Linked DNA regions of Oryzias latipes. The protein of the gene in region 1 purifies or fractionates together with the protein of each later gene. This does not show direct contact. Links are inferred from orthologs where the notes say so. Each region holds a gene or a part of one and is shown on either strand. Other genes may lie near its edges.

The links.
Region 2: the proteins of pfdn5 (region 1) and pfdn1 purify together in Homo sapiens (affinity purification with mass spectrometry; 7 studies listed by BioGRID and IntAct, with this or other methods). This does not show direct contact. The link is inferred for Oryzias latipes from reciprocal best matches to the Homo sapiens genes PFDN5 and PFDN1.

Annotation. Positions count from the first base shown.
Region 1 is NC_019863.2:4,452,199-4,456,121, reverse strand, and holds the start of pfdn5 (prefoldin subunit 5), read right to left. Parts: upstream 2,436-3,923; 5' UTR 2,391-2,435; coding exon 2,301-2,390; intron 1,245-2,300; coding exon 1,142-1,244; intron 15-1,141; coding exon 1-14. UniProt on the Homo sapiens protein: Binds specifically to cytosolic chaperonin (c-CPN) and transfers target proteins to it. Binds to nascent polypeptide chain and promotes folding in an environment in which there are many competing pathways for nonnative proteins.
Region 2 is NC_019872.2:23,090,121-23,094,043, reverse strand, and holds the start of pfdn1 (prefoldin subunit 1), read right to left. Parts: upstream 2,693-3,923; 5' UTR 2,627-2,692; coding exon 2,528-2,626; intron 1,823-2,527; coding exon 1,656-1,822; intron 229-1,655; coding exon 144-228; intron 62-143; coding exon 1-61. UniProt on the Homo sapiens protein: Binds specifically to cytosolic chaperonin (c-CPN) and transfers target proteins to it. Binds to nascent polypeptide chain and promotes folding in an environment in which there are many competing pathways for nonnative proteins.

The DNA.
Region 1 (3,923 bases):
GAGTAATTCTTTTCCTGTATGGAAGAAAGAGGGAAAGTTGTTAAATTCAACCATCTGTATATATTAGACATTCTGTAGCCTCCAAGACTGAAGGACAGTCGGAGACTTGGACCTGGGACTTGAGTGACACTTCAGCCTCACATGCACTGACTTGACATTTGACGTCAAGGGCTTAAAACACGACTTGGAGCTTAGGATTTAGGATGTGTGTACGATACGTATTTGTTTATTCTTGTTATTTCGCTCCGTAACATCACTGTCACCTTGAAGCTCATCAAGAGAATGCCAAGAGTGTGCAAAGCAGGAATCAAAGCAAAAGGTGTCGTAAAATACTTTTTTCTTTGTGTTTATTTGATTATATTAAAGACTTTTAAATAAGAATGACGGTACCGTGATTTAGCTGCAGTATTAACTGTTTTCTGAAAAGTCCCGCCCCTTTAACTGTCTCCGCCAATCATTCTTGGAGTCTTAATCATACGTCATCAGTCTGACCAATCAGAAGTGGTTAAAGTCTTCACTTCCTTGTTCCATTTCTGCTCATAAAGTCTCTCAGTTCCAACAAAAATACCAGCTAAAGCTCGTCTTTAGCGGTGTAGCTTTCCACAGAATCCGGTGTCAGACCGTGGAACAAGGGAACAAAACCATGAAGCTCCAAGACGCCAGTCTGTCTGGCGTTTGCCGGCTGTTGACACTACATCTCCCATGATGCATTGGGTTAAAGTGGCAGCGTATCAGTGTACAATGAGTCTTCCTTTGACGTCTTGAAACCACAACGAACACACACCAAACAGTTTTTAAATCTTCTAACTTAACTTTTATTACATCTTTTAGAAAACCAGCTGCAGCTTCCAGCTTTTTCTGCCACAATGATCACAACAATGCATGTGAGATTGCAGAGGGGCTGTAGATCAAAACAGACTAGGAGTTTTATTTTTATTTTTGGATGCTGGTGTGCCACAGGATTTTTGTCAAGGTTAAAGTGTGCCGTGGCTCAAAAAAGGTGTGAAAACACTGATCTATGCGCACGTGGTGTGACGGTTAAAAGAGGTGCCATCCTAAGCAAAGTTAGAAGTAAAACTATAAAACATTTTTTAAAACATTAATGATCAAACAAATTACCAGTAAGGGACATTTTACATACCTTTGTTGTTTTCGGTCAGTACATTTAAACTGTCTTTTGCTTCAACATACTTGGTCTGCACAACTTTGAACTGGCCAATTGAAGAAGTCAAGAATTCAACTTCCTGGGAAAAAAAACACAGCATGAATTTCAAAAAAGCAATTAAAAAAAATTAAAAGAAACACCCCAGAGGAGTTCCATCTATGTACTCAGATACACCACCATTCACTAGTTTTAGAAAACGAATGTTTCCAGTTTTTTATTGACGCATAAGTGTGATGTTTTGTTGCATTGTGAAACAAAACTGATAGTAAAGCTGAGAAACTGAGGTTGCAAAAGCAGATCCTGGAAATGACCAAGTTATGCCAACACTCCTGCTGCCCCGTGGCCACAGTTTGCAGAAATGTTGAGCTGGCAGTTTCTTTCGGCCACCAAGCGCGGTCTGGACGGCGCTCAGCTGGAAATGATCGCACACAGGCTTTTTGGTAACGGTTTCAGTCGTGCTTTTGTGCAATTTTTCTTTCCAGCACGATTGTGTTCAATAATTTAGGTAGTTTTTCATTAACATAGTCATATCCTGAAATGCTACAACAATTTACTTCAGTGAGTGATGTTGTTATTTGATTAATTTTGTAGATGTTTAGCACTGACATCTGCCACATAGAGGTAAACTACACTAAACTGCACACCTGTGACTACTTCACCAGGATAGATTCTGTTGCATTTCTTGAATTCATTAGAATTTATAATAATTCCCAACGCCAGAATGCCTTATCAATAAGGGTATTATATGTTCTAGGGGTGTAAGAATAAACGTAGTTGAACCGAAGCGTTTCAGTACAGCAGGTTCGGTTCAGTTCACTTCTGTACCGTTAGGTACGTTTTTTCCCCCGGATGTGTGCATTGTAAAAACTCAGCTGCTTTGTCACTCATAGCGGGTGTATTGGTTGAATGACAACAATAAGCCTGATTCAAAATTTAACAAAAAAATGTAAATAATATAATGATAAGGCCAGGCAAGTTCAAACTGTGACTCATTTCTCTTAACTCTTGAAGGTCGCTACCCATCCTGTCTATGTATCAATTAAATCCTATAAAGTCTAAGGACAAATTGTAAAATAAACTATTGTCGGTTTTTTCTCTGTCAACTCAAAAACCCTTCTTTACAACCGAGCAGCACCTGAAACTCCACGCCCCTGCGGGGAAACATCATGACCCTCCGCGGCCGCTGCGCTGCTCTCATTCCCGCCTTTAGCGTAGACGCCTTCATGAAGAAGCAGCGGTCACATATTCAGTCTAAACTCACGCATTTTACCTGGTCCAGCTGGCCTTTGAGTCCTTCTAACTGCGGCAGAGAGAGGTCTGTGAGATTCACCGCCATGTTGGAAGCGTGGTGACAAAAGACGGATTCTTCTTCCGGTTGCGAGATGTACTTCCGGTTGACATATTTTCCGGTTTATTAGAACATGAAAGCTGTTTCAAAGTAAATATGATTTAAAATGAAATGCAAAAAATAAATAAATAAAAGGAAAGAAGAAAACTTCCTTTTTAAATATGTTGACTAGCTCTAGTTTATATGACTATTTTCTAACGCAGACTCTGCATAACAGTTTCTTTGATTGAAATTGAATGGGTTTTTTTCTGCAGAATATTAAAATTACGATAAGCATGAAGGTCAGTCGTAGTAAGACAGAATACATGTGTCTGAATGAGAGGGATCAAGGTAGAAGCGTTAGGTTACAGAGGGCTGAGGTGAAGAAGGTGCAGGAGTTTAAGTACTTGGGGTCAACAGTTCAGTGTGATGGGGAGTGTGGAAAAGAGGTGAAGAGGCGAGTGCAGGCAGGTTGGAGCAGTTGGAGGAAAGTGTCAGGAGTGTTGTGTGACAGAAGAGTGCCAGCAAGACTCAAAGGAAAGGTGTACAAGACAGTGGTGAGACCAGCTCTGCTCTATGGGTTAGAGACGGTAGCAGTGAGACAGAGACAAGAGGCTGAGATGGAGGTAGCGGAGATGAAGATGTTGAGGTTCTCCTTAGGAGTGACCAGGTTAGACAGGATAAGGAACGAGTACATCAGAGGGACGGCTCATGTTGCCTGTGTTAGCGACAAAGTCAGAGAAGCCAGACTGAGATGGTTTGGACATGTTCAGAGGAGGGATAGTGGATATATTGGTAGAAGGATGTTGGAGATGGAGCTGCCTGGCCGGAGGGCAAGAGGACGGCCAAAGAGGAGATACATGGATGTCTTAACAGAGGACATGAAGTTGGCTAACGTTAGGGTAGAAGATGTTCATGATAGAGTGAGGTGGAAAAGGATGATTCGCTGTGGCGACCCCTGATGGGAAAAGCCAAAAGAGAAAGAAGATTAAAATTACGATAAGAGACCATGGAAACGTACAATAATCTGGTTTTTAATTTAGTCAATTACATCTGCAGGTTGAACAACTGCCATGCAGTCTGTGGGTCAAGTATAGGGGCCCATACTTGTTCTAGTTTGCATATCAGTTACACGAAGCATTTGGCTGCATGTCATACTGTGTGTTTGTGACAAATATTTGAACTTTCTATTTTTGCTTAATATTTATTCAATATTGAAACATGCAGATTAATGACCTAGTATTTTCTAGACAAAATTGACACTACTTTCTTTATGCCATCACCCGCTTTGAAGTTTGGATTTAGGAATTAAATCTTAAGGTAGGCTACCTGAGGTTTGAAGCGTAGTTTATACTCTTATTCATAGACAAAAACGGCAAATTCTACCAAAACTCAAAAGAACCAAATTAAGACTTTTCCCCTCTTTTTCAG
Region 2 (3,923 bases), on another chromosome or scaffold:
GCATCTCTCTGATGTTGTCTTCAGCCTCCTTCACGCTGCGCTCCAAGTACACCTTCTTCTGCTGCAAGAGACCACAAACGGGCAGCAACAGTCAGAAACCCGCAAACATGCACTGCGAGCTGTGATGGAGCAGGCACTCGCACCTCAAGCTCCTTGATCTTCTCGTCCACGGTTTTCTGTTTGTCTGTCAGCAGGTTGTTGATCTTCTCCCTGGACTGAAGAATGAACCTGAAACAACAGTTTTCTGTCATCTATAGGATCGGCAGGGCAGATGAACCTAAAGGCAGCATTCAGACATTAACGTTTCTTTATACCATGGTCCGGGTGAATACTCGATTCTGATTGGCTGCTGGGTGTGCATTAAAGTGATAATCCACGGTGATAATGTACGCCTAAAAAAGAAGTTCCGGGCACATAGCTTAACTGTTCTGTATCACTGCACTGGCTTCTTTAAAACAAACTTCAGCCTCATCATCTGGACTAAAAGAGGTAAACTTTCTCTCTGAACTGATGCTTTATTTAACCCGTGGTGACGATCAGCATATATATTGCTTTCCTTTGCCGCAGCAGTCGAGGTCAGTGGGGCTAAGCAGCGCGTTATGTTACCGTGACACGTAACAAATAGTCGACTTTTTGTGAAGAGAAAAAAAAGAGATTGGAACCATAAAAATGTTAGAATGAAAGGCCTAAAAACTGGTTATATATTTATTTCTTTTGTAAGTAATCATGGTAGCAGCGGATTAACGGCTGTCAAAGTGGGCACAATCAGAAATTAATGCACTTTATGGAAGCAACTGCGGAGGACGGTTGCTTCCACAAAGTGCATTCATTCATTCATTTTCTTCCGTTTGTTCCCTTTCGGAGTCACGGGGCTGCCGGAGCCTATCCCGGCCACTTATGGGTGAAGGCAGAGGACACCCTGGACAGGTCGCCAGTCTGCCGCAGGGTCACAGTCACACACCCATTCACACTCACATTCACACCTATGGACAATTTAGAGTTGCCAATTAACCTATGGAGCATCTTTTTGGACGGTGGGAGGAAGCTGGAGACCCCGGAGAAAACCCATGCATGCACGAGGAGAACATGCAAACTCAATGCAGAAAGGTCCCCCATTGATGTTCTGTTTCAGGTCCCCCAGCCGGGACTTGAACCAGTGGCCTTCTTGCTCCGAGGCAAGAGTGCTATCAGCATTAACGCATAAAGTGCATTAATGCTGATAAAGCACACTTTGTTGGCCATTAACCCTTATGTAGCTCAGTGTTTGTGCAGATCAGTTGCTAAACGCACATCCTCTTCAAACTTGTGTATAAAAGTGTTGACTGGATGTGAAGTTCATAAAGTCAATCAGGTCAGACAGAATTCCTCTGTCTGGAACTCTCATGGAGCCTCAGTAGCATCAATGAGGCCAATCAAAACCTCTCCAAAAAGAAATTTATGTGAATCTGGTGGAGATCTCCTTAAAATAAATGTAAAGTTTTCAAAATAAGAGGCACATGGTTTCACAACTGCAGTAGAACCGTGTGACACTGAGATTTCCAAAGCAGAACCAGACATTTGATGGAAAAACCAGACTGGTTTCATGTTTTTCAGATGTGTCTAACTCATCTGTGTTCTTTGGTGAGTTGGCATTGATTACAGGAGAGCACACTTACATTCGGCCGACGCCCTCGTACAGGCGCGTGTTTTCCGGCAGCGAGGAGATCTCTGTGCTTGTGAGCTTGGCATGTTTCTGAACTCGAGTCAGCTGATCAATCTGGAGGTCGGCCAGCTTCACCTTCTGCTGTGTGTCAATCATCTTCAGCTGTAGCTCGGCGAATGCCTGCAGAGACAGGAAGTATCGCTCTGTTCAAAGTCGAAAAGGAAACCAGGAGAGAATCAGAGTTTCACTATTTCTCCCATCTCTTCCTTTTCTCTGGCTTGATTCAGGAAGTCAAACAGAAAAATGAAACACTGCCTCTCCTGTAAATCAGTTAACAAGCAAAGCGATCTGCTACATGAAGGTAGTCTATGAAGATATAAACCTGGACCATTTAAATGTTTGCATAAAGGAGGTAAAAAAAAAAAACGACATCTGACCTAAAATAATCCACGACACTGAAAGATGGAAAACTGGACTTTAACATTTACAAGCATGTTTGTCATAATCTGGTTTCCTCAAACCCCATCATCTTTTGTCTCAGTGTTAATACCGCAAAGGATTGTGGGATTGGAATATGGTCCACCCGATCAGAAAGGATGCTCGGCCGTTTCAAAGAGATGGGGGGGGGGGGGCAACCTCAAAACTCATTTTGCTCTAAGGGGTTCAAAGATTCGGTGCAGGTACACAATGGTCCGGTTCACATGTTTGTTACTAGTGAAGTGACCGGTCAGCCGAATTTCGTGAACCTTCCGCGTGCACCACTGAATGCGGTATGGGTCACACTAATAACTACCAGCGGTAGCTGCCTGTAACCCAATATCGGAGAGTATGCGCAACCACGTGCGTCAGACATATGATGTGTTCGGCGTCCTGTAAACTACACACCTTTTTTAGTTCCAGGTCCACGGGCGCCGCCATCTTTAGAGTAGATTTCGAGTGCGCATGCGCAAGATTGTCTTCTTCGGGCTTATTTTGTGGCAGCATCAAGTTTGCCCACAGCCCCTCCCAGTAACGATGATCTATTTAAACTCCCCGTGACCTTTTTTTTAAAAAAAATAAAAACGTTCCCAGTGGTGTTTTAGTTACAATTACGACGTTTTTTTTAACTAAAATTCCACAAGCCAAATGTCTTTAAAATGTCATGTTTATCTGAAGCGTGTTTCCAAGAACTCCTCTACATGGGCGTGGCTATTGGTGCTGATTAGCTCCGCCCTCGATTCCCCCTATCTGCAAGCTGCGTCTTGCCTGAGTGAAGACCGATAGACAGTCCCAGAAATTGTAAAAATTGTTGAATACACTTGCATAGCACTATTCACACGTCATTTTCCAAATACTTGTGGCCAGTGCAAAACTTAATTCTTGAACACCCGGACCCAGAGGAAAGGTTAAGTTTAGTGTTATGGTTACATTTAAGGTGCGTTCACACTGAACGAGATTCGTGGCAGAGGTGGCCAGTTAAGGCCCGTACACACCGGGACGAATTTCGCGCGCGATATTCGCCGATGTTTAACGCCTCATGACTAAACAAAGGGCACCAATGTGAGTGTGCACACCGACGTGAAAAAACGCCACGCTTCAAAGCGTCACTTTATAAAAAATGCCTCGGGTTCGTTTTTTTGGTTTGGCGCCACGCGGCAAAAACTATACGACTAATGAGAATGGGGCTTTTGGACACGTGTCTGGAGCTTCTGAAGTTACAGTAAAACACAACTTGGGGGCGCTCAAACACAAAACTGCCTTTCTGAGCACACATACCAGCGAAGAAGATAAGACGCCAAGTGGAATCTACACTGCCGCAAAGAAATAATGACGGACATTCTAAAATATCCCCGAAAACGCTCATGATACATTTTTAGCTCTCGTACCAGTCGATAAAACTCCCCATGTTCTTCTCTTCTCGTAACTATGGGATGTACCCAAAATCTGCGTCTTTTCCAGCGTCTTTCATCGTTTGCTGTGGTGTCATCGGTATAAAGGTATTGTACTGCAAATAATGATCCTGTGTTAATAAAACTTTGACTTGCTTTACGGCAGTTATCAGTCTTTACTCGGTGCAACACATCATTCAACAGAACAATAATTTCTTCATTGCTGGAACTGGAGCTACTGGTGCTGGAAATATTCATGTTTTCTTTGTTTGATTCTGACAAGCGCGTAAATACTTGCTCTCTTCTTCTGAGTGAAAAGCGACTTTAAGAAGCGTAAAGTTGCGCAGCGCCACCTTGTGTACAGGGGTATTTCTGTTTTACATTAAGCGCCATCTAAAGTCAGGGAATGAAAT